7 linked regions of the Solanum lycopersicum genome follow. The protein of the gene in region 2 binds, or shares a complex with, the protein of the main gene of each other region. Links are inferred from orthologs where the notes say so. Each region holds a gene or a part of one and is shown on either strand. Other genes may lie near its edges.

The links.
Region 1: mediator of RNA polymerase II transcription subunit 23 (region 2) and mediator of RNA polymerase II transcription subunit 31 share a complex: the UniProt entries of both Arabidopsis thaliana proteins name them as parts of the mediator complex. The link is inferred for Solanum lycopersicum from reciprocal best matches to the Arabidopsis thaliana genes AT1G23230 and MED31.
Region 3: mediator of RNA polymerase II transcription subunit 23 (region 2) and mediator of RNA polymerase II transcription subunit 25 share a complex: the UniProt entries of both Arabidopsis thaliana proteins name them as parts of the mediator complex. The link is inferred for Solanum lycopersicum from reciprocal best matches to the Arabidopsis thaliana genes AT1G23230 and PFT1.
Region 4: mediator of RNA polymerase II transcription subunit 23 (region 2) and probable mediator of RNA polymerase II transcription subunit 26b share a complex: the UniProt entries of both Arabidopsis thaliana proteins name them as parts of the mediator complex. The link is inferred for Solanum lycopersicum from reciprocal best matches to the Arabidopsis thaliana genes AT1G23230 and AT5G05140.
Region 5: mediator of RNA polymerase II transcription subunit 23 (region 2) and mediator of RNA polymerase II transcription subunit 13 share a complex: the UniProt entries of both Arabidopsis thaliana proteins name them as parts of the mediator complex. The link is inferred for Solanum lycopersicum from reciprocal best matches to the Arabidopsis thaliana genes AT1G23230 and GCT.
Region 6: mediator of RNA polymerase II transcription subunit 23 (region 2) and mediator of RNA polymerase II transcription subunit 11 share a complex: the UniProt entries of both Arabidopsis thaliana proteins name them as parts of the mediator complex. The link is inferred for Solanum lycopersicum from reciprocal best matches to the Arabidopsis thaliana genes AT1G23230 and AT3G01435.
Region 7: mediator of RNA polymerase II transcription subunit 23 (region 2) and mediator of RNA polymerase II transcription subunit 30 share a complex: the UniProt entries of both Arabidopsis thaliana proteins name them as parts of the mediator complex. The link is inferred for Solanum lycopersicum from reciprocal best matches to the Arabidopsis thaliana genes AT1G23230 and AT5G63480.

What each region holds. Positions count from the first base shown.
Region 1 is NC_090802.1:52,519,355-52,523,970, reverse strand, and holds the start of mediator of RNA polymerase II transcription subunit 31, read left to right. Parts: upstream 1-1,530; 5' UTR 1,531-1,684; coding exon 1,685-1,722; intron 1,723-1,806; coding exon 1,807-1,904; intron 1,905-2,093; coding exon 2,094-2,190; intron 2,191-2,355; coding exon 2,356-2,434; intron 2,435-2,824; coding exon 2,825-3,102; intron 3,103-3,256; coding exon 3,257-3,272; 3' UTR 3,273-3,323; intron 3,324-3,495; exon of another isoform or gene 3,496-4,239; intron 4,240-4,616. Other genes in the region: polyadenylate-binding protein 1, read left to right, coding at 58-103. UniProt on the Arabidopsis thaliana protein: Component of the Mediator complex, a coactivator involved in the regulated transcription of nearly all RNA polymerase II-dependent genes.
Region 2 is NC_090804.1:17,739,222-17,743,320, forward strand, and holds part of mediator of RNA polymerase II transcription subunit 23, read right to left. Parts: intron 3,727-4,099; coding exon 3,578-3,726; intron 1-3,577. UniProt on the Arabidopsis thaliana protein: Component of the Mediator complex, a coactivator involved in the regulated transcription of nearly all RNA polymerase II-dependent genes.
Region 3 is NC_090811.1:29,968,064-29,972,162, reverse strand, and holds part of mediator of RNA polymerase II transcription subunit 25, read left to right. Parts: intron 1-386; coding exon 387-440; intron 441-665; coding exon 666-694; intron 695-3,661; coding exon 3,662-3,730; intron 3,731-3,855; coding exon 3,856-3,940; intron 3,941-4,099. UniProt on the Arabidopsis thaliana protein: Component of the Mediator complex, a coactivator involved in the regulated transcription of nearly all RNA polymerase II-dependent genes.
Region 4 is NC_090809.1:61,265,896-61,270,625, reverse strand, and holds the start of probable mediator of RNA polymerase II transcription subunit 26b, read left to right. Parts: upstream 1-1,711; 5' UTR 1,712-2,678; coding exon 2,679-3,125; intron 3,126-3,732; coding exon 3,733-3,798; intron 3,799-3,899; coding exon 3,900-3,982; intron 3,983-4,730. UniProt on the Arabidopsis thaliana protein: Component of the Mediator complex, a coactivator involved in the regulated transcription of nearly all RNA polymerase II-dependent genes.
Region 5 is NC_090803.1:12,752,033-12,755,658, forward strand, and holds part of mediator of RNA polymerase II transcription subunit 13, read left to right. Parts: intron 1-298; coding exon 299-386; intron 387-471; coding exon 472-550; intron 551-982; coding exon 983-1,278; intron 1,279-2,661; coding exon 2,662-3,626. UniProt on the Arabidopsis thaliana protein: Component of the Mediator complex, a coactivator involved in the regulated transcription of nearly all RNA polymerase II-dependent genes.
Region 6 is NC_090803.1:5,625,740-5,629,691, reverse strand, and holds the start of mediator of RNA polymerase II transcription subunit 11, read left to right. Parts: upstream 1-1,152; 5' UTR 1,153-1,468; exon of another isoform or gene 1,469-1,473; intron 1,474-2,761; 5' UTR 2,762-2,776; coding exon 2,777-2,830; intron 2,831-3,808; coding exon 3,809-3,925; intron 3,926-3,952. UniProt on the Arabidopsis thaliana protein: Component of the Mediator complex, a coactivator involved in the regulated transcription of nearly all RNA polymerase II-dependent genes.
Region 7 is NC_090807.1:2,029,146-2,033,294, reverse strand, and holds the start of mediator of RNA polymerase II transcription subunit 30, read left to right. Parts: upstream 1-1,349; 5' UTR 1,350-1,472; coding exon 1,473-1,871; intron 1,872-3,212; coding exon 3,213-3,311; intron 3,312-3,872; coding exon 3,873-3,971; 3' UTR 3,972-4,007; intron 4,008-4,088; 3' UTR 4,089-4,149. UniProt on the Arabidopsis thaliana protein: Component of the Mediator complex, a coactivator involved in the regulated transcription of nearly all RNA polymerase II-dependent genes.

The sequences.
Region 1 (4,616 bases), on a different chromosome or scaffold from region 2:
CTTGATGATTACATCAAACTTTAGTTAACAAGTATTGTGTTGTCATCTTGTTTGCAGAAGGGTTCCAAGGTTCAGACGGTCCATCCGCTACAGGCCATACTAGTGAATTTTAAGCTGGATTGCAGCCTTCCCTAGAGAAGCATGGAGCTCGCTTTGTGAAAAGGGCATCTCCTTGTTTTACTCTCTTTGGTTGAGGGCAAAGGATGTTCTAATTCAAATAAGTCATTAGCTGACATAAATTTCAACTCTGTGGATGATGTTTTAGGTTCTGGGGATTGAGAATTTTTTTCTTTGCTAGCTTGCTCAGATGCTTGCATTTTGGGCAGCAAATGGAAAAGACAAATAAAATAGACAGTTTGTTGGAGATGGTCTGAATTATGTATGGTTGTGGTTTGGTCACTCTTAAGCTCCCCTCTCCTAAACCTCCTTATCCCCAACTTCAAATCCTAATAGCTACATGCAATAAGACCAATGGTGTTTAATTTTATTAAAGGACTATTTATTACTCCATGTTAGGGTAGATACAAAATGCTTTGGTATAGACAGAGATGAAGATTTTGTAGTGTATGGTAAAGCGTCTTGTTAATAGGAAAAAGCATGGACATACCAATTGAAGTAGTCCAAATTGGTAATTGTATAAAGGGTAAACAAATCTAAAATTTGGTTGGAAACATTGGTCATCGAAATATGATTTCGTAGTTGTAGGTCCAAAACCCCCAATTTCCATGCTCATTTTAGGCATGGTATTATGCACCTCTCTTTCATGACACATATATTCAGTTGTGGCCCGTAGACATGTTTCTTTGAGAAATAACCGAAACAGAGTCAACTTGAATTCAAGCTTATAAATATCAAAAGTGATATAAGATTTTTATTCCAAACCAAAATCATGAAGGTTGCATCCAAAATCGCCCTTTTTTTTTTAACCCCTTGGACTAAAATCACAATTTTCACATTTATATAACTACGAATTTAAGCTTAAAAATTCATGCATACTAATAAAAAACTGGTCAAAACTTAGATATAAAGCGCGCAAGCGAGACTCAAAAACGTGTTGAGGGCTTCGCGTCGCTTTATGTGCACTTTAGTGTCTTCACCAATGTTCTAAGGCAAACGTCACCTTACCAATGAGCCTCTTATGAGACAGTGAAGTTAAATCACTGATATTTCACTTTGTCATAATTATTTTCAATTTCTTTGATCATATATTTGACATATTCATGTTTATAGTTATTAGTTTTGGACTAAACATGCATACTTATACTCTTTTCCTCCCTTTGCGTCTTTTTTCATCAAAGCTTACATTTTATTTGCGCTTAAATTCCCCATGGATCGTAAGAGCTTTTTTGCGCTTTTCATCTTTAGTAACACTGGTATAATCACATATGAGAATTATGACTTCACTTAAAAAAAAGATTTCTAACCATTTCAATCTGATCGACTGTATAATCTAGGTGAGTAAATGAATCTAATGACACACTCATATTGAGCAAATAAAAATTAGGATCAAAATCAAATACAAGATGTCATTTTAACACTGAAATTTTATTTCAATATGAATTTAATCCATTTTTACATTACATCTTAAAAATGCAATGAATTTCAGACTTTCCTTTTGTATATATAGCGCAGCAATACAATCAACGGCTAACTTTGAAAAGTAGAATTAGTTAGGGTTTAGCGCATGGCTTCTACATCGAATCCAGAAACCCATGAATCACCGTAAGCAGAATCAATTCATCTCAAATCAATTTGCATCTTCGCAAATTCACATTAATCAACTGTTTTTTCTGTTCCAATTTGCAGGCAGAAAAGCGTCTATAAAGATCCCGATGATGGGCGCCAACGTTTCTTACTCGAACTCGAATTTGTTCAATGCCTTGCTAACCCAACTTACATTCACTGTATCTATCTATCTATTCCCTTCTCTTATTTAAACATGATGTTTTCTGGGTATTTACCAATTATTGTTAGTTTTATGTTATATATGTTGTTGGTGTGAAAATGAATATTGGGTTGCAAAAGCTTCAATTTTTCTATCCCTTTTTCATTTTTTGTTTTGTTTTGTGGACTTTGTATTGATTCTGATGCAGATTTGGCTCAGAACAGATATTTTGAAGATGAAGCTTTTATTGGGTACTTGAAGTACCTTCAGTACTGGCAACGACCTGAGTACATAAAGTTTATAATGTAAGTTAGTTTATAGTATTAATATGTGATAATAGTTATGTATGTTCTTTCTACTGCAACTTTTTAGATGCAGTGGATGATGGTCCTTGTTCCTTTTCTGTTTCCTGTGGACTATGGATATCGTTAACTAATCGTATTGGTTTTCCTTTCTTGATGTTAATGCAGGTATCCACACTGCCTATTCTTTCTCGAGCTTCTCCAAAATCCAACATTTCGTAATGCAATGGCTCATCCTGCTAACAAGGTAAAAAGTTATGTCATGTGTTGTCCTGGTTTCCTTCTCCACTTTTGCTATACTCTTTAGTTAGTTAAGACTGTCAGCCACTATAAAGAAGGTTCACCCCACTTTCTGTAAACACAGTTTCTATGGACTAAAAATGCTGCCAAAACACTTTATAATACATGGTACTTCATTGTCTTAGCCATTAGCCTTATTTCCATTTCTGAACTTTCCCGTAGTTTCTAGGCATAAAACTTATAATTATTTAATCGTGTTGTCGAGGTTAATTCTCGCCCCGAGGACATCTCATCTCATTTCACTGTTTATTATTTATTGCACTTTGTTTGCCAACCTAAAGTTCTGGCACATAAATCTGTGATAGGATCTGATCTACATGTTTGTAACAACTATTAGGAAGTAGCACATAGGCAGCAATTTTACTTCTGGAAGAACTACAGAAATAACCGGTTGAAACATATTTTGCCGCGGCCGCTTCCTGAGCCTGCAACTGCACCAAGTTCTGCTCCACCTGCATCACTACCATCAAGTGTAGCCCCTCCAACTGCTCCACCTCCTGCTCCTACACCTGTTACAGCTGCAGCTCTTTCCCCGATGCAGTATGCCATCCCTCCTGGATCTGGTCTTGCTAAAACGGACCCAAGGAATGCTTCTGTTGATCGAAGAAAGAGAAAGTATTTCCTCTCCTCTTTTACTTTTCTCTTACTGTGAAAACTTTGTCAATGCTTGTTGTTGCATGCTCCCTCTTGTTATGATTTTATATTTTAGGGTTAGATTTGTGACGTAATGTTTCTGAAATGGTTATTGACTTGGATAATTTTGTTTTAGCAGGAAAGACGGATAATTTTATTTTACTCATAGCACAGACCTCCTATCAACTAATTTATGAATTAAGGTAATACATTTTGCACCCCATGATTTCATTTTTCGAATAGGTGTTGCAGTTCCTCATTGGCAAACACATTAATGAAATCCTATTAAGAGTGTGATTTGTTGTTTATTGAATTTTAGAGTCCTTCCCAAGTCTCAAGCATGATCAATGACCTGTACTTTCTTTCTCATGTCAGAAAACATAGTGCTAAAGTTTTGCGAGAGATCAACTACACATTTGTTGGGTTCACTAGGATCAAATTTCTTTAAGAAATAAATGTAGAACTAATTTTATTCCCAAACCAAGTAACCAAAACAGAAAGGAAGCAGCCTGCCTTTGAACTCTTTTGGGATGCCCTCGTTTGTGGTTTCAATTGCTTAATTTTTTAGGCTTAGCTCAGACATCTGGTGATAGGTGACTGGAAGATTGCCAATGCACACTTATAGCAGTAATGGGTTATCAATGGAGTGAAGAATTCGAATCACCATATTGACATGTGAACTTCAGATTTTGATGATAAATGAAGGAGCAACTTCTCTAGTGTGGTCTAAGTATATGAACCTTTGCCTATAATCTATGGTAAATGGGAGGAGTATTTATGGTCTTTGATGCACTTCACTTGGGCAAGGTTACGGTCCCTCTCCTCGGCTAGCCTGTACGAATTCCTATAATCACCTTTGCCTTTGTAGTTATTCTTTCCCCTTCGACTGTTCCAATTCCGTGTCCTCAAAGTTGCAGGTACTGACTCTCAAGGGCCTACTGTCTTTCCAGAAAACTAACAAAAGAGGAACTTTATCCATTTGGCTTGAATTGGGTGGTGTGACACTTAAGAATCGGTACAACCTAGATCTATAGACCTGAAATTAAGTGCAGCACACAAAATTATATTAGCTGTATCACTTTCATTAACGGAATTCCAAGGATTTCATGTTATCACTCATCTCTTTTCTCGTTTTGGTCAAGTGAAGTGCTTCCCCATATATATTTATGAGTTTCAGTTTGAAACTATGCCGTGTGTCCTTTTCTCGACAAGATGTACTCTTTCCTATTTACTTAACACATAGTTCTCCAATGTAAAATCAAGTATTGTGCTTATACTTTATTCTGGTTGGTCAAATTGACCTAATTGCGACTTTGTGACGACTCATTAAACTTATATATGCTTAAGCGGAAAATTGGGTAATACTCCTATTGAGCATATGATGTGTTTCTTCCATTATCTTGATAATGTCAGTTCTTTAAATTTAAGAATGGCTTTTGGGTTCTATAGGAGCATTACACTGAACATATTACTTTGTGTTAAAATATTCTGATTAT
Region 2 (4,099 bases):
CTGAGCTATCCTTGAAGTAAACTCTTTTCAATAAAAGATGTGTCTAGTTTTCCGATGTCAGCAACTAAACATATCTGAAAGAGTGATAGTCTTAAAGTATGTGATATTGTCGTGGCTATAGAGGAAAACATTTGCAAAAATCTCAAGGGAGCTGAACAAACTGTACTACAAAAACTAGAAAATTTATCACTTGTTCATCTCATTGAACTAGAAATAGTGGAAGAATGTGTATCCTGAGAAGTAGTTTTCTGAAGAAGTCTTTCCGCATCTTATCAAATTTCTAAAGGGAGAAGAATACATAAGATATGGACATTCAGAGTCCTCATGTGTCCCATATGTGTCTGATGTATGTGAGATGACATGAATTTATGTACCCCAAAAATTTACAGTATTAAATGAATCGTTAGACGGACAGTGAACGCGTAATACCCTGAATCACGAACAAGTTTCAAATGATATAAAGATCAAGTTCAAGGCAACAAACATGTGTTACAGGATGTTTGGCGGAACCAGGGTCTAAACAAAAGGGGAAGCCGGGTGCACCACGCCTGGGTTTGGGGAAGACCGAACCACATTAAGTCCATTGTGAACACCCTTACCAACCATTACTGCGAGAGTGAGTTTCCATGGCTTGAACTTGTGACCCTTTGATCACACAACGACAACATCTACAAAAACAGGATGTCAAATAAAAGTAAAACCAAGTTGCTAGTACTACTGTGGGCCTCCTATGACATGGACATATTAAACTTCGTACTTCAGGAAGATAGAGGCAGAAAGTTCATATTGATAAAGCAGTGGAAGAAATTCCCATGCCGTAGAAGATGCAGAAAAAAGCTGTCAGTGAGCCAAGTACAGGTAGTTTCTTCTGCGACGCATACCACGGCACAAAGGGTTTTGCATACTTGTAATGGTCTCCTCATTTAGGTTCAAAAACTGCATTTTCATATTGGCTCACGTTTATGGAAAAAAAGCCACATAGTATACAGCTACTTGAAAAGATTAAATTCGGACTCAGTAATCTACCAAGAAGATTTTAGCAGACAGAAGGAAATAGACAAATTTTCATGAGTAAACTTGAATTTAGTCTTGAATTTTGAACCTGTAGCCTAAGAACTGAAGTTAGTTGTGTAAATAATCATGGGCAGCAAAGGGTATGGGAACCATAGTGTTGAATTCACGATGTTTATTATGTTTCCTTGCTAGAATATGGAAGGAACTACTATTGATGATTAGCAATAGCTTTGGTAGTAGAAATCAAGGGATTAGGTGTGCAGGCACCTAACCTTCTTAGACTTGTTCTCAAAGGCATGATATTGTAGAGAATAACAAAAGAAAATATAATTGGAAAAACCTTCTGCTAGCCAAGATCGTTAATTATGGTAGGAAGATTCCACTGAAGAGAGGAAGCTATGAAAGGAGAAGGAAGAATTAAGATAGTAGAACTTTGTTATGGATGAAGACTTTTTGAATTGGCACGAATTGCTTCGAGGTGGATATTTTTCTTTTGGGTTAACTACAAAGGACTGCCACCCCTATTTATACTTGTGTAGGGATGCTCTAGATACATCTACAAGAATAATCATGACAACTTAATCTTCTAACTATTTAACAAGAATCTGGAACTTCCAAACATATCGTAAAGATATGTATCCAAGACACTACATTAGTTCATTCTGGAAGCTTTCTTAAAAATATGTTCAGAAATGCAAGAAAGTTGTTGGATAGGTCAGAAGCTGCTGGAACTTCTCCGGAAAACGAAAAGTAATTGGAACTTGGCAGCAAGCAGATAGGAAGTGCTTGGAAGAGTAGGGCCATCTCAACGAAGTAGGAACAGATCAAAACAAGTTTCAAATTCAATAGTTTGTGCATTAGTAATTTTAGAATCATATTTACTCGACCACCATGAGGCCAAGCAGTAATTCCAATGGCAGCCGCAAAACACCACTACCAGCATAGAAACAACAACAATCATCACAAAAACATGCAGAGCAGAGAAGTGGAGTGTGGGGGCAAAAAGAAGCAAAAACTAGTGGGGAAGTGAGTGGAACATTGGGTATAGCAAGTGGGTCAACAGATTCTTGCAGAGAATATGTCGATTAGATCTCATAAATTCAAGTTCGTATGAGAAGACGGTGACTGAAAATTAACTCTTGCTGGCGTAGACTGTCGAAAGTTGAGGATTTAATCTAGTTGGAATTAGTTTTTCAATTCTTGCTTGAGTTTCAGAGTGAGCGTTCATGGTGGTTGAGGCCTGATAATAATGAATGTTCTAGATAAAGAAGATGACTTAAGAAAATGGGTTTATTTGTGTGTAATGGGTAAACTGAGTGGGTTAAATGGGTAATGGGTAAATTGAGTGGGTTAAATGGGTAATGGGTAAATTGGGTGGGTTAAATGGGTATGGGTGGATATTGAATTTTGGGTTAAATAATTAATTAAATCAGGTTGAGCGGTAGGATTGCGACAGGTGTACTAAATAAGGTTTCCGTTAGTGGGAGGGGTAAATGTGCACTGATTTTCGGACGGTAGGGTATTAATGAACGAAAAGTATGACGAAGGGTATTTATATACTATTAACGATAGTTCGGGGTTATATTTGTCCTTTTTCCCTTAAAAGAATTTGGAGTTTGCTACACCACTTGGGTGTAAATGTGTGTGATAATGTTATTCAAGGACTTGATAGAACAGTGATCACATATTTAAGAGAAGTGGTAACAATAAGCATGTGAATAATTTAAATATAACTAGAGGAATTTTTATGCATTTTCCAATGATCAGAGCTCAAAAGATGTGTGTTGCAGCAAATTATGTTTAATTGGATCGATTCTCCAAGATAAATGTCAAGTGGGTTTTGTTGTACTAGTCAACCAAGTTAGCCAGAGCCTCAGAAAACTTCAAGGATGACACTAAAAGTGTCACTATAAATTTTTCAGCACCGTGTGTACTTCTACACAAAGATGTAACAAAGCACCATCTCCATGTCAATTCAGACAAGATAGTAGGTTATTATCTTGGGTATCTAAATGCAATTCTAATACATCAAACAGATGAAGTTGAATCTCAATTGATTCGATCAGGAGAATCATATAAATCTGTCTGATCCAGTATCAGAAATACATTTGAACAAAAAAATGTAGAACTTTTATACTGATGATAAAACATTGAAAACTGAATCTGAGCTAAAAAGTTCATTTTGATCCAATTGAAGTTGTATCAAGTCAAACATGGGTGTATTTATTTACTCACTTTTACATAAAATAAATGTTAGTATAACAATGGTAATAGAAGCTATGCATAAGCATTGGACATAACCAAAGAGATACTTGGTTTGACGATTAAAATTTCGACATTCACCAACTATAACGAACTTTTTTATTGCACATGATAATGTCCAAGATGTTAAACAACATGTAATACCACAAGTGGGGTATGGGAGGTTCGAGTTTACACAGACCTTACCCCTACCTTAAGAGGTAAAGAGGTTGTTTCTGATAGACCTCCGGCTGAAGTATAAACATTTCAAACAACCAAACAAAAGAAAACACTGAAGAACAAAAAATGTTCACTTTGTTACCTCTCCTTCCATGACAGATAATTTCCAAGAGCTTTCTGCAATTCCACACGCTTGAAAGGTCCAGGGGAAAGCCAATGCTCAGGCGGGCCACGATTTAAGAGATAAACTTTCACTCTTTGTTGGAGCTCCTTACTGTCAAGTAAGTTAATCTGTTTGGAATTTTAACAAAATAAGTCACTATTCCAATAAATTGCAAATAACTACAACACTTACTTGAAAGTGATCACGGTGAGAAGGAAAGAGAAAATGAGAGAGAGCAAAGCTTGATTATTCTCTAAGCCATTGGAGTTCTAATAGAAAAGTGTGTGTTCTAAGAAGGGAAATAGAATTAAAAACATAATTACAGGAATAAATCAAGCTATAGTACATTTACATGATCTTAGCATATTCTAGAATATAAGGGATTCTAAGAGCATTCTTAATGTGAATGAAAAGCCCTTACAATCATGGTGAGGTTCATAATTAGAATGACCGCATATGCAGGAAGCGGAACATCCCATGGGAAACTGCAAACAGAAATGT
Region 3 (4,099 bases), on a different chromosome or scaffold from region 2:
TTATTCTGATGCATAACCAATTACTTTAACTTTTGAAAGAAACAATTGTTTTAGACTTTGCGCAGAACCAGCAAAATCATATTTGAGGTTGTAAGACCACAATTTTGAACTTATAGTTTATACTGAGGATATGTCTATACCCTTGAATAGTGTGATAATATGCAAGTTATATACTACAATGAGAAACTGGGTTGGTATTTATTCAATTTTTTGAACTGCTGTTCTTTTCAAGAACTCTGATTATTTTGCTATAATTTTTCGTCATCCCGATCGAATTCATGTTTTCCCATATCTTGTTTTCTTTTAGAAACTACCTACAAGAAGCTCTACATTTCTGTATGATGTTAATGAAGTACTCCTGATAATTTGTAATGAAAATGTTGCAGGGAAACTTATCTGGTCAGAGACAGGGGCAGCCTGTATTTATTACCAGATTGGAGGTATGCTTATAACTTGTCTTATTGGAACTTCTAGTGATTACAAGTTCTTTTGTGTTTTTTGATCTTTTTCTAATGGTTATCATTAAGTGATAGTGTCTTAAAGAAGGCAATCCAGCTTTTGTGTTGAGACATGAAGTATTGCCTACTTATCTCTTCATGTTGTAAAATGGTTTGCTGGATCTCTACTAACTGTACAAAATCTTGTGATCCAATTTCTTGTGGCAGGGGTATAGGAGTGCCTCAGCTTCTGAATCGTAAGTTTTCATTTTTATAAATGCTTGATTTAGTGATTTCACAATGTCACTTACAATAAACAATCCTACTATGTTGTTTTTTGTGTTTGAGTTATCGCACTGTTTTGTTGTTGTCTTGCTTCCTTCTGGTAGACTCGCACTGTTTCCTTGTTACTCGCTATATTTTCTTCACTGTCTCCTTCTTTGTACTTGGATTTTCTGCACTTGACCCGGGGTTTTTTCGGAAACATCCTCTCTAGCTCCTCGAGGTAGTGGTACAGTTTGCGTACATTCTACCTTCCCCTGACCCCACTTGTCGGATTTCAATGGGTCTGCTGTTATTGTTGCAACGTTCCCATTCCTTGTTGGATTGTGAAGGGACTATATATTTGTCTTCCATAAGTTGTACGGATATTTGGTAGTTGTATTTTATAGTGTAAGTTTAGCTATGCTACTGTCTTTTCCATCTTCGAATTGCAAGATCTTTTATTTTACACCTAAAGAACTCTGTTGTCATGATGCACTGATCTCTCAAATTTAGCAAGATCAGTAAATGGTAGAGACACCAAGGAATTCCTGATTTAGTCTTAGAAACTTGTTTCTTGAGGGATTCATCTTTTATAAAATTCTTTTTTTCTACAACTGAGACATTATTCTATAACCCATTTCCCTTTACAATTTTTTCTCAATCTTGTCAAGAGAAATATTCCATGATGTAACATCAAGAATCTTTGATCTCTTTGAGTGGTATTCCTTATATTAGTATTGGTTACAAGTAATATGATATTTATAATCCATCGACAGGATGGGTTTCATTTGGTTCTCTTTGGGATGATAAATGACCTACTTAACTCAGTGGTTAGAGTACTGCTTTCATACGGTGGGAGTCATTGGTTCAAATCCAATAGTATGTAAAACTAATTAGATACCAGAGTCAATGGTATCTAATAAGGTTTACAACCCACCTTTAGTGATTTTTTTTTTTTTGATTTTGTATCTTTTCTATTTCATTTTTTAATTTGAATTTTTGCATCAGAATTGGATTCTGTTTGATTGTATTCACCCGACAGAATCTAAATAGGATTAGAAAGAGAACTTCTTTTTATTATTCGAACGTACCAACTAGTTATGAAATCGGATTGCTAGCCTACTTCTTCAAATTCAATCCTTCAACACCCACTTGCTCCAAACTAGCTCACATGTTGTCATAGATATTGCTTGATATTATGTTCTGGACTAGAATGAGAAACGACACTCTATTTCTTGCTTTAACAACGCACTAAAAATTGCTGGCTTCTAAAATACAATTACCAAACATAGAATGTCTATCAGAAGGTGACCCTACCAATCAACATTGGTGTATCCAATGATCTGCTTATGGATTTGAGCCTCGAGTGTCAATGGGTCGTAGCATAAGCTTAACATTCAGTTCCATAGGAGTGCCTTTGGATTTACAGCCCATCTTATCTCTTCAAGAATCTCAGAAGCATATTTTTGTTAAGAAATAGGAATAAAATACCCTTTCAGGAAGACCCAATTGATTGGGCTTTGGACTTCCATGTTGGAGGTTTCAGCTTCGAAACCCCTTGCTAGCAAAAAAAGATGTTTGCCTTCTTGGTCGAGCTCGTCTCACCGGGTTTGCCTAATGCAGGTAACTTCTCCTGCGTGGTTCGTAAGCTATTGCATAGAAGTGAGGGATTTTACCCAGTGCGCATCCAAAGGGTAGCGGTTGCGGGTTTCTCATCATTAAAAAAGGAAAACAATACCTAGAAAGTAACTTCATTCTACCCAAATTATTTTTCTGAAAGTGCCAAAAGATATGTTGTTTAGACTAGTGATACCATCACAATCATTGTCAATAATAACTATATTGTCACCATAAACCACTAAATAAATACACAAACTTGAAGTTGAATGTTGATAAAACACAACTATCAGCTTCACTACCAGTCATGCTGAATTCCTAAATAACTATGTTGCACTTACTAAATCAGGCTTGAGGAGATTGTTTCAAACCATAGAGTGACCAGTACGATCGACATACACTACCACTAGACATCCCCTCAGCAACAAAACATAGTGGTTGCTGTATATAAACTTCATCATCAATGTCGTCATAGAGAAAAACATTCTTAATGTTCAATTCATAAATTGGACAATGGCGAACAACAATCATGGATAGAAAGAGGTGGACATATGCTATTTTAGCCACATGAGGGAAAGTACCACCACAATTAAGCCACATATCTGATGATATCCTTTGGCAAGAAGGCGGGACTTAGCTGATCAATTTGGCCGTCTGGACCAACTTTGACTACATAAACCCAACGATAGCCAACAATAGATTTCCTGAAGGATGAAGGGCAAGTTCCCAAATACCACTTGCGTGTAAAGTGGACATCTCCTCAATCACTGTGTGCAACCATACTGGATGAGAAATTGCTTCCCTGGTAGACTTAAGAATGGAAGTAAGTAGCAGACAAATAGAGTTCTTTTCAGATGTACTCTAGCGTTGGATAGGCAGGTGAGATCTAGCCAATCTTGAAGTGTTTGAAAAATAGGATTAAGCGATGACAAATTTTTGGGGTGTGCTGGCAGCATTAGTTGGATGCTTGTGATTCCTTTGATGAAAGTTGTACTTCTCCGGATTGCATTATATTGAATTGATGTGTGGAAGGAATCTAATTCTCTAGGGTAACTAATAAATTTGTGGAAGGAATCTAACTCATATTTTAGTTTTCAGCTATAATTGTTTAGTCGATGTAGAAGTTCTTAAACCAAATGTGATTCTTTGTTCGATTTGTGGTAGCTACATAGGAATGATATACAGGATGCTCTTATGTATTTGAAGCAAATGATGTCATTTCTGGAAAATTATCTTTTTGTTTTTCTGTTATGCATCTTTAGTCTTCTTTTCACTTCCATAATGCAGTGTTTTTTTAACTGTATTAACACTTGGAATTGATTTGTCCTTTGTGTTTTTGTCAGGCTTGCTGCAAATTGGCCTCCAACAATGCAAATTGTTCGCCTTATTTCCCAAGATCACATGAATAACAAGTAATTCATTTTAGATCAATTAATTTTTTGCTTGGTGGATCTTTTTCATGTTAGAAACATTTTCTTATTATTCGTCCACAGTGCAATTACTGCTTTATGAAAATTACATCTTTGTTTTGGATCAGACAATATGTTGGGAAGGCAGATTTTCTAGTTTTTCGGGCAATGAACCAGCATGGGTTCCTTAGTCAGCTGCAAGAAAAGAAGCTTGTAAGTGTTGTTACTTTTAAATATTGAGTTTTAGCAGCTAGAGACTAACCCCTTTTCATTGTAGTTCTTTTATAGGTTGCCTGCATCTTTGTTGCATCCATTTGAACTGCCCTATTCTCGTTTATGGTAGTGTTCTTTAATTAAAAGACCGATTTTCTG
Region 4 (4,730 bases), on a different chromosome or scaffold from region 2:
TTAGGTTAACTTAGGGAACAATTTAAAATAAATACATATTTAAATCAAATATTTGACATTAAAGGCACATATAAATTAAGATATTAACAGAGGACGAATTTGTTCAATTTCACTAATTATGAGGATATTTTTGAGATTTTTTCATTTAAATTTTAGTAACATTAGTCGAGAAAACATAATAGAGAAATAAAATGTCATATTATTAGTTGCACAATTAAAAAGTCCAAAGAGTCAAGTTTATTCAATAGTTTAAGTTATAGAAGATTAATGAAATTCTAATTGAATTATAGGTATCAAGTAACAATTATTTTGTCACCAAAATATAATTTTGTAAAAAAAATATTATGATAGTGCAATTTTTTAAAATGAAACACGTAAGATAAGAAAATCCAACATAACAATGAGGACCGAGATCATATAAACGTTACCTCGTTATTGATAAATGCATTGGAAAAATAAATAAAAAATTAAAATTTTGTTTTGTTTTGGATCAAACAAAAAAATTCTGTTTTTTTAATGAAGTTTAATTCCTTCGTATATTTATTTAGTATTATAAATTAAATTCTTTCGAAATAGAAAGAAAATCTACTATACAACACTAGCAATAGAAATTACAAACTTCAACAAATAAAAAAAATTATATGGTACTTTTATTTACAAAATACAATGCAAAAATAAGTAATTTGTATGTTTATTAGGATTTTAAGGATAATAACATCTTTATTGAAACTCTTTTTCTAATTTTAAGTTAATCAAAGAACGAACAAGTCCTAAATAAATAATTATAATAATTTCACATAACAATAACTTGTTCATTAAAATATAAAAAGAAATATAAATTTATATATAACATATTATGATTTATAAACTACAAAAAAGGAAACAACATGAAAAAATCTAATATAACAAAGGGTGGTATAAGACTAAAACAGGAGAATTAATTTTTTAGTCCACTTGCTATTTTTAAAAAGGCAAAGATAAATTGGAGAAAATTTAAGTTAAACTTTATATAAATAAAAAATTTACCTTTTTTATTTGAAGTAAAAAAATAAAACTCCAAATGAATAATAGTATCAAATAACAATAGTTTGTCATTGAAATTTGAATTTAATATAATATTATGATATTTTTTATAAACAGACAGTATTATGATAAAAAAATTTAATGTAAATATGACATTTTATACGAATCAAACGTAATAAGACTTTTTCTTAAAAATTAAAATAAACAATGTGAATATATATTTATCCGTATTAATTAAGCATCTTATTATTTTAACAACTTATATTTCTTTTTATATAAAAATAAATCAATTAAAACATACTTTAAATATTTTTTTATTTTTTATTTTCTTACTTTTAATATATAAAAAATAACATTTTTTTCTTATTTTACCATCGATATTAATTGCTTACTCCTTGCTCATTTTTCAATATCCAAGACTATACATCATTCATCAATTAATATATTCACAACAAAATTATTATTATTATTACGAAATATATTAAAAATAGATAAATAAAAATAAATGAAGAGGATATATTATTTTGTAATTCCATAAAAAAAAACATATATAAAAAAAGAAAACTACTTCAAAGCAAAGAGATAAATCACTTCCTTAACTTGAAAATAAAAATCATTTCCTTTCAGATTTTTCTTTTATTGTTTTTCTATATTATGTCACTATATTTATTTATTTCTTATCATCCTTCTTTGAACTGAACACAGTTAAAAATAGTTTTTCTATGTCAAAGAGATATGAATAAAATCTATATCCATATCATTTCTTTAAACTTTACTTATGAACCTATATCAAATATGTTATTCTCATCGTTATCGTTGTCATCATCAAAGTTATCCTTATGAATTTCATCCATAAAAGAAGTTTTCAAAATCCAATTTCCATTCTATATACATATCAGAATTCGATTAGTTCAAATTTCACACTTATTCATACTTAAAATATATATTTTATATACTGACAATCTCTCGAGTTAAAAATGAAGGAATCAGAACCATCTCACCACGATCCATGCTAATGACCGAAGAAAATTGATCCTTATCACCTACCCCTAACCCCTACCCCCCACCCCCAACAGAGAAAAAACAATATTTTTTCTTCCTCTCTCTCGTGTCTCTTTGAACCAGCACCTTGTATTGCTTTTTTTTTTACAGAGAGAGAAATATAATTAAAATAATAAAAGATAGCTAGAGAGAGAAAATCTTCTATACTTTTTTTTTAACATATATTCTTTTTCTCTGGAAAAATTTCTTTCAATCGGAATAATTTTTTCTAGATTTCTCTTCTTATATCTCACCAAAAACTTAATCGGATTTTTATTTAATTTTTTTAATTTTGTTTTGTCATTTTGGGTTTATAGAGTTTCTATCATATGGATTTTTCCTAAAAAAAAAGCATAAAAATCTGTATCCGATTGCATTTTGCAGAACTGAATCGCCGGTGACACTGATTATTCAGTTTCCGATCATCGGAAAAAGTACCTAATCGGAAAACCAGAGGTTTTTATTGCTAAAAACCTTGTTTCCGATTAGAATTTGTATGATTTTCTTGTGGGTATAATTAAAATCGGATAAAGATTGAATTTGTATATTTGGGTATTGATAAATAATTGATTTTACGATCTGGGTTGATTTGTTTTTGCTCTGAATCATCAGTTATGGCGAAGAGTAGTGGGACTTTGGATAAATGGAGGGACTATTTTCGTACTGCAAATTCGGATATATTTGATATAATTGAGTATGCAGTGATGGTTGCTGCTGTTGATTGTCCAAAGGAATTTAAAATGAGAAGGGATAGAATTGCTGAAATGTTGTTTACATGTAAAGTTACTATGTGTTTTGGTTGTGAGAAAGTTGATTTAGCTGTACCAATTGCTGGTAATGATGATGAAGGAAAAATTAAGAGTAAGGATGAGTTTGGTGGTAGTAAAGAGAGCAAAGTTAACAGTAGGATAGATCATCATGATGTTGAGATGAATGTGAATCAAGTTAGCAATTATAGTTATGGAGAAGCTGAGGCATTAACTGAGGAAATGGAGGAAGAGACTCAGACTTTTGGGGAGGTGATGAGGATCAAAGATGTCATTGATAACAACCAAGCTGAGGTTCATTTCATCTCTATTGAATTTTGGTTATACTGTTGATTTGAAGTATTTTGCTGTGTTTGGATTTGTTCAGTCAAGAATTGGTGGACTCTGTGTATGTGAATTTGAAGTTTGTGTACTTTTGGGGTTGATCAAGAAGAAAATCTTGATAATTGAGCTTAAATGTTGTTAAATTTTTGGAGTTTCTGGTGTTGTATGACATATAACAATGGTTACTTTTATGGTTGAATTTAATGATTTGAAATTTCTGTTCTTGTGGGGTTGATCAGGAAGAAGAATCTTGATAATTGAGCTAATGTTGTAAGATTTTAGAACTTTTGTGGTTGAATTTGATGGTGATTCTATTTTCTCTACTAGTGTCTATAACTGGAAAATCTGATATGAGGTTGTTTTCATGTCACAGTTAGGAAACCTTTATGCTTTTCATTTCCTTTTTGCCCCCTTTTTGTTCCTTTGATCTAGTTGTACAAGGATGTTGCTTTCTTTAGCTTTAAAACAATGTATGAAGCTACTTTTAAACTCTTTATATCTTTTGCTATTTCACTTGCTTGGTAGTTTTGAGCTTTCCTCTAGTAATCGGGTTTTGAGTTATTGTTCTTTTTGACAGTCTGCAGAGTTGTTTGAGTGCTTAAGAAGGCTTCAACTAATGGCTTTGTCTGTGGAGACTTTAAAGGTTTGATCTTTTGACGCTTCCAAAATTTCATCTTCCATTTATTGTGGTTACTGTTTTTTAAATTTATTCTGGATGGACATAATTGATTGCTTCTATATCAGGCCACAGAGATTGGAAAGTCGGTTAATTCTCTCAGAAAGCACAACTCAAAGGATGTTCGGCATCTATCTCGGACATTGATTGAGTAAGTAACTCTTGCTTTATTGCTGAAATAACTGTAAGAATGTCGTCAAAATATGTATGCACAACACAGTTCTAGTAGTCTGATCCGGGGTATCTTTAATGTGGCTGAATTTGTTTTATCGCAAAGGTTTGAACTTTTGTCTTCGAGTTGAACTAACATGTCGTATTGGTGGCTCTGGCAGCTTGCTTTGTCGGTTGTAGTTTTGAAGCTATTATTACTTTTTAACGCTTGCAACTGTTTGTCGCTTACCGTTTATCTTTACCGTAAAATTAAGATTTCATCATAACTCAATCATCAATGCATACTAATGATGGTGATTGCTTCATTTATCGAGTGCTGAATTTGTTTTTATCGCAAAGGTTTGATCTTTTGTCTTTGAGTTGAACTAACATGTCTTTTTGGCGGCTCTGGCAGCTTGCTTTGTCGGTTGTAGTTTTGAGCTATTATTACTTCTTAACGCTTGCCACTGTTTGTCGCTTACCGTTTTTCTTTAATTGATGTTATCTTTAATGAAGATTCCATCATAACTCAATCATCGATGCATACTAATGATGGTCATTGCTTTATTTATCGAGTGCTGAATTTGTTTTTATCGCAAAGGTTTGAACTTTTGTCTACGAGTTAACTAACATGTTGTATTGGCGGCTCTGGCAGCTTGCTTTGTCGGTTGTAGTTTTGAGCTATTATTACTTTTAACGCATGCCACTGTTTGTCGCTTACCATTTTTCTTTAATTGATGTTATCTTTA
Region 5 (3,626 bases), on a different chromosome or scaffold from region 2:
CGTGTGTGTGGTTGCAATATAGCTCTGCAATTGTCATCACTTACTAGTTCTAGAACTTTCTAATGGATTAATTTTAAGGCTTCAACCTTGATTACTCAATTAAATAAAAGCATGATGGAGCTGCATTTGGTTCTCCTTTTCACTTTTTAATGTGAAGGGCTCACTAATCAGTACAAAACAAGTGTAGAGGACATTCCAGACATTGTATTTGTGATACTAAATTTATTTGAACTACTTTTTCTGTTTCTGGCCTTAATTTGCTATTTGAAGGGAGAAATAATGTCTTTTGACATTGCAGATATCAAGACGATTGGCTTAAGACGTCACCTAGTTCTCTTCAGTTCTGGGAGAAGGCACCTTTTGAGCCTTATGCGATGCCCAAGCATGTAAATTTTTTAATAACTTCAGGCTGTTCTCTTGCTTATCTCCTCAACTATTATATTGCCTTACCCATTTTCCCCAACATTTCAGATGACATATCACGTTGTCTGCCCAGACATCAATGCTCTAACAACAGCTGCAACTGATTTTTTCCAACAGCTTGGAACTGGTTAGTATTCTTAACTATCATACTAAACAGAAGATAGTGTATCGGTTACGTTTATGTGACTCAAAATTATAGTAGATGCTTTGTGCTTTAAGAAGATAAATATTCGGTATCCTAAAAGTGTAAAGCTGCACTAATTTCACAAATTGGCCAGTTCTTATTTAATGTTGCTGTATTTTGTAACTCAATCTGCATGACTCTTTCATTTTGAAGATATGGACAAGATCAGAGATGGAAAAATGATATTGAATTAATTAGAAAAAAGTGATTAAATTATTGCTTCTCATACAAATCCAGCTTCGTAACTGTCCTTGACATAGATAATGATAGTGGTATGTTTGTGTCATGAAATTTTGTTACCTGATATTTTTTGAATGACTTATCCGCAGTCCAATAGACTTCCCCTTTTTTTTTTGATTGACTATTCTCTTTTAGTTTATGAGACATGCAAACTGGGAACTCATTCGCCTCAATTTATGGGAAATGAGATGGAGATAGATTCTGGCAAGAATGCATCTTCTGGTTTTGTTCTGATTGATTGCCCCCAGTCAATGAAGATAGACAGCAGTAGTGCATCTATGCTGGGATCGATCAGTGATTACTTTCTGTCCCTTTCCAATGGATGGGATTTAGAAAGCTATTTGAAGTCGCTCTCAAAAGTTCTCAGAAATTTAAAACTTAGTTCATGCATGACCATGAATCCGAAAGAAGGAAGTACTGGTCCATGTACGGTAAGTTGTGATCCTCTTTGTTTCTTTTTTATATCTTTTCTATTTTTCTTCCCTATCTTGCTTTTGTCCTCTTTCTCCCTCTTTTTTCTCATTAGCACTAAAACTGGAAGATGCATCTTTAAAGTGAACTTCGTTGAGTCCATCATTGATTGGTGGAGATAATTGGTTTTCGATGTTAGGGCAGTCTACCACTTTCTCTTGATAAGGGGGCATTTTTGTATACTTGACCTTCTTTTGGCAAAGCAAAATGGGAAGAGTAGATTAAGCCAAAAGAGTGATTCCGTATTAATTTTTTGGCACATGTACTTCATAAGTATTTTTTTGGCACATGCTTCATAAGTAATTTTACTTCTGGAAAAGAGAACGCAAAAGGAAAAACTAGAAACTACAGTCAAAGTAGAACCTTTCCCACTGCCTTAGGTGCCTCCACTACATATCCATTTGTTTTAATATGATTGGGCTTAATTATAGTGCTTATGATGCCAAACCTTGGGATCCGGAAGTGTTAAGTTGATAGTGAAAGAATGACTTGCACGATGTCCTAGTGTCTTGGTGTGCTATGATAGTTACTCCAAGGTGTATTTTCTTTTGCACTGGTCGAGTAGGTCACATTTACCTGAGGCTAGTGAAACACTTACTAGTTGGATGAGCAAATAGAATAAGGGATATTTATATATGTTTCGTCCTAGATAGGGATTAATATTATATAGAAAGATACATCTGTTAAAAGGGATTAGTCAACTTCCAAAATGATAAAAATCTAAGGTAGAGCAGCAGCAGAAGTCATTGGATTCAATAGACACACCAATAATCAGAAGTTTTCTATATATATGAATTTATTCAATGTTTGAGAAGCTTAAGTAATACACACATTTTTTTTTGGGAAAAGAGAATGAGGCAACTCTGGCTAATGGTAAATGGCTCTTCTACTTCTGGTTGCATTTCTGAAGCAACACTTGCTGATAGTTTTCTTTTTTCTTAGTTTAGGATATCCACTTATTTCATTATTTTTGTCTTTGAATATACTGATATGAATATCTTTATTATATTCCTATCAACTTTTATGCGGTATCAGTACAATATAATGGCCTTGAATGAGAATTCGACATGCTATTCTGTTGGGACTTGGGTCCAATTGGGGTGGAAAGAGATAACTGGAATTCATATAGCCGACCTTACTAGTTCAGGATTGAGGGCAGTTGTTCTAAGGTTATTTTCTGTGCTCCAAGTGTTGCATATTCCATAGTTGCAAATCCTTCGAATATCATATTCTCAAAGTAAAAATCTTAGAAGAACGTAGAATATCTGATCTAAGCAGAGTATTATATGTTAAGGTAGTTAAGAGAAGCTTATATCTGATTGTATATTTGAATGTCAAATCAGGTGGTATACGTGGTTTGCCCTTTCCCTGAGCCTCTTGCGGTTCTACAGACGGTGATTGAATCTTCTATTGCTGTTGGATCTGGGGTTCTTTCTTCAGATAAAGAGAGGCGGTCTACGCTGCACAATCAAGTCGGGAAGGCCTTAAGTTACTCAGCAGCTGTGGATGAGGCACTCTCAAATGTTTTAACACTTTCTGGGTTTTGTATCCCTAAACTGGTATTGCAGATTGTCACCGTTGATGCAATTTTTAGGGTTACAAGCCCTGCTCTGAGTGAGCTTGTCATACTGAAGGAAATTGCTTTCACAGTTTATAACAAAGCCCGCAGAATATCTCGAGGGTCCCCCAGTGACATGGTTCAGTCGTCATCCATGCCCGGTAGATCTCATCCAGTTCTGATGCAAATGAACTCCCCAGTTCCAGGAATGTGGAAGGACTGTGTTGGTCCTCGAGGCATAGGAACTTCCCTTCAGAGAGAAGCTGACCTTGATGCAAACCTAAGGCCTGGTAGTTGGGACAACTGGCAAGCATCAAGAGGGGGAGGTCTTGGATGTGAGCCAAACAGGATCGGGGATTTTTCTTTTCAGGATGAAATTCGTTATTTGTTTGAGCCCCTTTACATTCTTGCTGAACCAGGTTCATTGGATCGTGGACTTTCATTTCCGATGTCGGGTAATCCAATGACTGAATCTTCAAAGCTTTTGTTGGATGATGGTACAAGTGGAAGTTTTATGCAGAGTTCAGCTTCTTCAGGTGGTGGAGACACTGGACTGAACACTCAGTCTGAAACATCTGTACCAGATGGTTTTGGATCTGCACATCAAAAATCACTTCCAAGCCTGCATTGTTGTTATGGTTGGACTGAAGATTGGCGCTGGCTGGTGTGTATATGGACAGATTCCAGGGGAGAATTGCTTGATAATCATATATATCCATTTGGGGGAATAAGTAGTAGGCAGGATACGAA
Region 6 (3,952 bases), on a different chromosome or scaffold from region 2:
ATGTTTAAAATAGTTTCTCTCTATAAAATAATTTTAATATTAAAAGCACATCGATATTTGTTTTTTTTCGTAATTTGACTTTCAAAAACACTTTTTAAAAAAATTATTCAAACACAAATTGCTTATAAAAACACTTTTTAAAAAAATTAGTCAAACACATATTGCTTATAAAAACACTTTTCAAATGAATTTGCTAAAAAGTTTTTTTAAAAAACTTGTTTTAAGAAAACGTTTTTGAAAATAAATAGTTTTTAGATTAGTATATATTCATTTAATCAGCAAATGTATTTTTAAAGGGAAAATTGTATATAGCAAACTAATAACCTAAAATAAATAGAGTAGGTAGGGTTTGATTTAATTATGCTTCATAGTAAACGTTTGCAAAAAAATTGTCAGGCGCCTCTATCCCAAAAATCTCGTTCGCCACTCTCCTCCAATCTCTCACTCGCTTCCTCACTTTTTACACAAACACAAGTGTATAAAAATTGTTTCTAATTGTATAAAGCAGAGAAAATTGTATAAATACATATATTTTTGTTCCTCTCTCTCCCCTCTTCCAGGTCTCGCTCGCCACTCTCCCAAATCTCGCTCGCCACCCTCGCCTTTCTCACTTATACAAACAAAAGCGAAATGTATAAATTGCGTTTCTGTTTGTATAAAGCATGAGAAAATTGTATATACACATGCAAGTACATATATTTTCGTCCTATACAATTATAATTATACAATAAAAATACCACCCTGCCCAATTTCTTTTGTCTTTCTCTCTTTCTCGTTTTATACAATTCTCAAATTGTATCTAATTTCTCTCTTTCTCGTTTTATACAATTCTATTCAATTGTATATTCCTTGTCAAGTCTTTTTTGTCTTTCTCTTTCTCATTTTATACAAATTCAAATTTTATATAATCGTTCTATACACTTATAATAATGCAATTTGCTTTATACGCTTCGTTTTTATACAGTTCTCTGCCCAAGTGTCTTTCTATTTTTTGTTTTATACACTTCATTTTATACAATTTGCTTCAACTGTATATGTATAGAGAATTATATAGTTTCTATGTGTTAAAGAATGACAAAAAGTCCCACATCGGTGATTAATGAGATGAGTGAACTCCTTATAAGGCTTGAGCAATCCTCCACCCTTTGAGCTAGCTTTTGAGGTGTGAGTTTCCTTTTGAGCTAGCTTTTGGGGTGTGAGTTACGCCTAAGACCTAATTTCACACTATGTTGAATTTTTTGTTTGCTATATCTTTTTTAAAACCTTTATAACATATTAAACAAATAAAAAATTGAAAAAATGTTTTTTTTTAAAAAAAATATGCGTTAATTTAAGCAATATGTTTATTCAATTACATGCTTGTATGATAAAAATAAAAAATAAAAATTACAGGCAACAACTCGGAGCTGAGACTATCTCCGACCACCGGTGACTGCCGTTCTTCTGCCACTCATAGCCGCCGTTGAAGGTAAGGTATGATTGACTTCTCACTTGTAGATGCCGATATCAGACATCTCGCTGGCTCCTTTTTTAATAATAAGAAAAATATTTCGTGCCTGTGCGTCTTATATGTATTTGTATTTGTATCTGAGCTTTGTTTCACTCATGCATGATATGAAATATCGTTGTGCATTTGAGCTGAATTTGGGGCTTTTTGGTTCTTTCGGAGCTTCAGGGATTTGTAATTTGAGGACCTTATTTTTTTGGGTCCTAAATCCACTGCTTGCTTTAGTGGCTGGCTTTAGGGTTGAGCCGCTGCAGTCAGAGATATGAGTGATGAATTCCTCCAAAAAATGGAGAAGAGAGAAGATGACAAAGAGTTAATGAAGTAAGTGGAATATGAAATTAGTGAGGTTTTGAGAGTGTAGGACAAATTTGGAACAGCGAAGAAACATAAGACTATCACTGGTTGCTTGTTTAATAAACTGCAGATCTCAGGTTCAGGGCTATTGAACGATTCGAAAGAGCTCATTCGGAGTTGAGTGAATGGCTACTCCGAGATAGAATTTGAAAAATTGAATTCAAATTTATAAGACTATTGAACAATTAGAAAATTGCAAAAAACGAAATGATTCCATTTGAACAGTAAGGGGTGATTAATCAAGTCTGGCAATGGGTTTGAGTGTCGAAGGAAATAGCCCCTTTGCAGAAATGCTAGAGGAAGACGGTGAAATGTTAGGATTGCTCGTTTGATAATCAGCAGGTCTTGGGGGTAAAGGCGGAGCTAGGATTTGAAGTTTACGGGTTCAGTGTTCTAGTCCTTGATCGTTCGGTATGGGGGATGGAATAGACAAGGATTTCTCTCGTGGGATCAGCTATCCAACTTCTATATGGAATAGCCAATCTCAACATTTTAGAACATATCGCATGAGATTGTTATCCTGCATCTTGCCAACTACACGCAGGATAAAATAATCTCTTATAAATTAATAATTTATACATATTAAATAGATTTCTTAAGACAAATATAGAGTTCAGAGAAAAGTTGTTGATTTCGGCCAAACCCGTACCTTGAAAGAGTGTAGTAGGGTGGTAAGTTTAATGGACATAATACTTATTAGATGTAAGTTTTTCTTCTGTTTTCGGATTGATTACAGAGGATTTAGGTTTCTGATTGTTTAATTATTTGACTGCAAAGATCTCAGAACCAAAATCTCTGAAAACTGCACATAATCAGGTTTTATAGATTCTGTTTATTTCTCCACATCTAGATCGCTCTACGGCATTGCAATTCAGTAATCTTTTTCTCCTGTCCTGACAGCTTCCCTCAGAATACATGGATTCGCAAAGCCAGAATACTTCATTGCAGCGGCTGCAAAATGTTGAGAAGGTAAATGTTTCTACAGGATTATTGACTTAAGATGGGTTGATTTCAGTAGCTGCTATTCTTTGTCATCAAAATACTTAATGTTCTGATTTCAGAATTGATACTACAATATTATTCCTTCCTTGCCCGAGTCCTTGTTACTTGTTCCCCTATCCTGTATACCAAAATGTTTCAAGAAAGAAAGAGAGCGAGGAGAGTACTTTTTGAATTTAGGTGAAATCCATATTTCGTTGATTGGGTGAAACACATAGACAAGCTTGAAGATATATGGATGGTGTTATGCCTCGGTAAGGGACTCCACCATTGAGCTCTCCTAAGCCTTCTGGAGTTCCGGATCCTTCAATTTCTGGGACAACCGGACAAATGAAATGAATGAGAACAAGAGCCGCTTGGCTAGATAACCATGACTAAGAATTTCATGTCACCCACCTAACTGTCAAAATGGGCTGACCCAACCCAACTCAACCCATCCTCAAATCAGCCAAAATAATATAATTCGAAGTCAGAGAATGAAGATGGGAATAGTGTTGAGATGACGACAATGATGAATAAATCAAAGACGCTGTGGACCGAGAATAGGATCTGAAAGGGCTTTTCAAACTTCTGCTTCTGTTGGTTGCTTTCTTCCTGTCTGGCTCATTGAGTATCTTCCACAAACTCCAGGCTGATCTTCAACAGTTGGAAATCAAATCGTATTCGAGATCGTCCTGTCATATGCCCTGAATATCTACTGACACGAGTTTTCTCTGGTCTAACGGAAACAGCATCTCTGTTGTTTCCTAGTCATTGGTTTCTTCAGATTAAAAACGTGGAGATGATATAGCATGTCAAGTGCAAAGGCAACTAATCGTAATTTGATGAGTAAATCACGATCATAACTTTCAATGCGGAGTCAGTAATCACTTTTCTTGATAGAAAAAATTGTAACTGAAACATTACTCTCATACCTTCTGTTGCTGTATCTTCCTCTGATGCTTGCAGAGGATAGTCAGAGTTCTGGAGCTAGCAGGAGGTGTAATGGATGAAATGGCAAATCCGAGCGGCCCCAGGAAGGAGCTTATTAACAACCATTGTAGTGAGTTCATGCAACTAATCAAGGTAAGGACATACTTTACTTCTTTGCAC
Region 7 (4,149 bases), on a different chromosome or scaffold from region 2:
GATACATCCCAAACTATTGTAAATGGTACGCAAATACCATTCGTCATACTTTTGGGACATTAGTGCCCTTGTCGTCATACTTTTGGGACATTGGTGCCCCTGTCGTCGTACTTTTGGGACATTGGTGCTCCTACCGTCATACTTTGGAGACATTGGTACCCCTGTCCCTTCGTTAGAGTGAAGGGCATATATGCTCTAATTTATGAACGACAGAGACATCAATGTCCCAAAATAATGACTGAAGGTATCTGCATATCATTTACGGTAGTTCGAGAATATATTTGTCATTTTTTCCTTTTTATAAAATAAATTTATTTGAATTTTAAAATCTGAAAAGTGTCTTATAAAATGAAATAGAAAGAATATTATATATATATAATATTTTAATTTCTATTATTAAAATGCACAATAAGACTAATTATCGATTCGAATGGTGTTGTCTTTTTTTAATTAGGTATTAATGGCACGTTGAATAAAAAAAAAGGAATCTTTGATTTGTTTCTTTCAAAATCTCAAATGGAAGTTTTTAAACATTTCTTCTTTCGCTTTTTAATTTTAATTGGAATCACACTTTTTTTAGTTTGCATCTATTTGCGATACATAGACTCTCTCTCATTCACTTTACGTCTTTTTCACTCGTCTTTTTTTCTATAAGTTTATATTTTAAAGTGTATATAGTAGTATATTACATGCATCTAGGTCTATATGACTTGACATCTAGTATGAAATTACTAATTAGAAGACGATGCGTAACTTTTCAAAATTATGAAAAAAAAACTACGTAGTAAATATGATAGGAATGTTTATGTAATCTGGTAATTTTTCTGCAACGTTAAACACAGATATTTGTGCACTTCTTTCCCCCATTGAATTTCGGGGAACTTATATACACGTACTATAATTAAAAAAATATTTACCATTTATAGCAATAATAAAAAAAAATTACTTAATCAGTTTTAATTTATTTATAATACAAGTTTTATACATATTATAAATAACAATTTAATATTACATATAATACAAATTTTAACGATGGATAATACGTTTTTCACACATTTTAATACATTTATAATAGAATGTGTCAAATTTAGTAAACAAACTTAATATATTTCAAAAAACAACTTATAATTCACGTACATTGCATACATAATTCACTTTTAATTCATATTGCAGATTTTACATAATATTGCTATAAATGACAATAAATAAAAAGTATCGCTAAAATCAGTAATTATTTATTAAAATGTATTAATTTATATAATTTTTCCTTGAATTTTGACCCAAGTAACTTGATTTTGGGCTTGATCCAGTAATACATAGCTCCTTACCCGGCCCAAAAAGTACACGCCACGCATAAAACGACGTCATTTTATGCTTAAATTAATTCTCCTTACAACTTCTCGCACCGCCGATCGCCACCACTACCGCCGCCGTCGATCTAGGGTTTTGACAAGCCGGTGACATTACCCGGTATGGAGGATAAAGGCACAATTACAAGCCCTAAAACCATACAAGAACTAGCAGTAGAAGGGCAAAAGCATTTAGAAGATACAATAGAAGCAGCACATCAAATTCTCTCCGCCATGAACGATGAACTCTGTAATCCATCACTTTGGTCCACTCTAAATACAGCTGCTGCTTCTTCTGCGGTGGCGGTGGCCGGTGGAGGAGTTGGTGCTAGTGGTGTTTTGAGTAATGGACAGCAGCACCATACAAACGGCGACATTTCGTCTGATACTTCTTCGTCTTCTTCTGCTTCAGCTCAGCATTTGGATATTGGTGGTGGTGCTCTTGATGAATCTCGTCTGCGTTATAAGTCCTCTATTGCTTCCTTGCGTTCTGTTCTTACTGCAATTTCTAATTCCCAAAAGGTAATTTTACGTATAAAAATGCAATTTTTTAAAACATTTTTGTAATTGTGTGATATCTGTAATTTAAGATAGTGATCTCAGGAAAAGTTAGTTTGATGTAATCATGAATCAACAATGGCTTGATCATAAACTAGTTCGGTTCAGCTATATGAATGAATCACTTCTAGTGAAGTCCATTAAACAGAAAATGTGTAAAAGACTGGGGCTTTGTTCAATGCCAAAGGTAGTTCAACGTGACCGCAAAGATTTGGATCCAACGTAGATAACCTCTAGTTTTAGAGGTTCCAAAGGTTAAAACTATTTGATACTGGAGTGAAGTGGTTCCATATGGATATGGAGGATTCGTATACTTCCACCACCAACCAGCTTGTGTTGAGCCATAGGTGGTGTTGGTGTTCTGTTAGATGGTAGTTTTGATTGGGAATGAAACTCAAATAGATATTCTAGAAATGTAGTTCCTTCGGAGTACTGTAGGAGAGAAAAACATTATCCAGTTTGAGCAGAAAAAAAAAGACATTATCTAGCGATAAAGGTAAATTCAGTGTGAAAAGTGTTTGGTGATTGATCTTAATCACAAAACAAGGGGTTAAACAGTTTTGGTGATTGATATGGGAAAGACATCATGTGGTTATATACTAGCACAATTTGCCCTTACCAATATGAGCAACATTTGCACATGGCAATTGTATATTTTGATGTTCTAGACATGGGGATAATATTTCTTCACTATGAATATAATATTCAGTCGTTTGATCATCCCTCGTCATCAGTTGATGAAGCTCAACTGTGCTGCTTACTCTTTTTCTGATTTGTCTTATATTCTTCTGGGTTTGTGGGTGGCTGTTGGGGGCTGGGGATGGGGGAAGATATTTAACTATGTTTTCGAGGTTGTTCTTGTTTCTGCTGTTTAAACGCACATGAGGTATAAGTGTTTATACCAAGATAAACTACTGCGTGTTATCCTTTTCAAGAAAGAATTAGCACTATAATCACATCTCAAGTCCTTGGTGTTGGTGTATGGATTGCCTTAACATTTGTGCATTGGAGAGAATCTGGTTAAGCAGTAAGAATTTTGTTTGTCAGTATGAACAAATAAATCACTGATGTTGAGTGCATTTTTGTTGCTCAACATATGTCCGACTACACATTAAATGAGTTCTTTTAGTAACTTCTTTCTTAAGAGTTGTGCAAGTATTTGCTCCGTTTTAACTGGAAGTTGTCAAACTCTCCTTTCTGTTGTCTCAATTCTCATGATTAACAAGTTATATTTTCTTGTACATTTTGGAAAGTTGTTAACTTATTGTATGATACTTCACACTCATTACTGGCTTTGTTAGCTAGGCAAAAGCATTGGAAGCTGCTTCTGCTAGTGGTTCACTATCTGCAGCAGATCAAGCGGAAATTGAGCAGCTGGAAGACCGGGCCTCTTCATTAAAGAAGGTATTGATAACATATCAAATTTTGACATATTAGAATTTCCTTGGATTTTTGTTGGTTTTTGGGATGCATGATGGGTGGGTTTGGTGAAGCAAATGTGTGTGCCAATATTTGAACCTTGACTGATGTCTTCCTTGATCCATTGAGTAATTTCTTATCCATTAAAACAATATTGAGGTATACTACATGTTACATTTTCATTCCGGACACATGACAAAATGTCTTACTGTACAAACTTTCTCAAGTCTCGATATTTGTCACAACCTCAAATCAGAACAATATGATTTTGTGATAACATATGAAAACTTGGTTTCAACATCCTCTGCTTGTTGTACATACTGTATTATTATTAATTTTATTCCTATTGCGTTAAAATTAGTCAAATCCTGTTTCATTTGCTTTATGTCTCCCCCTAGTGGCAATAAGAAGTCCTCAAGTGAAGGTAGAGTTTTATCGTACTTGAGTGCATGCCTAATAGTTTTCTATTATCTTACGGTAGTGAAAAATCAAGTTGCTATTGTGATCAAGATTTAAAGCATATTCTATTGTTCTTACAAATTGCAGGAGCTTGTAGACAAGAACAAGCATCTCAAACTTCTGATTGACCAGCTTCGAGATCTTCTTGCTGACCTATGTACATGGCAGAGTCCCTGTTCTACATGACTCTGCTGCTATAACTTCAACCATACAATTAAATCGGTGAGGTGTTAGAGATGTCAAAAGAGCAACGTATTCAATCTTAAGAAACTGTTTTATTTTTTTTTCACTTCTTTTGTACAGAAGTTACTGCTAGATTCAAAAAATTGGTCATCGCCGGACACCTGCTATATGCTGCTCGCGG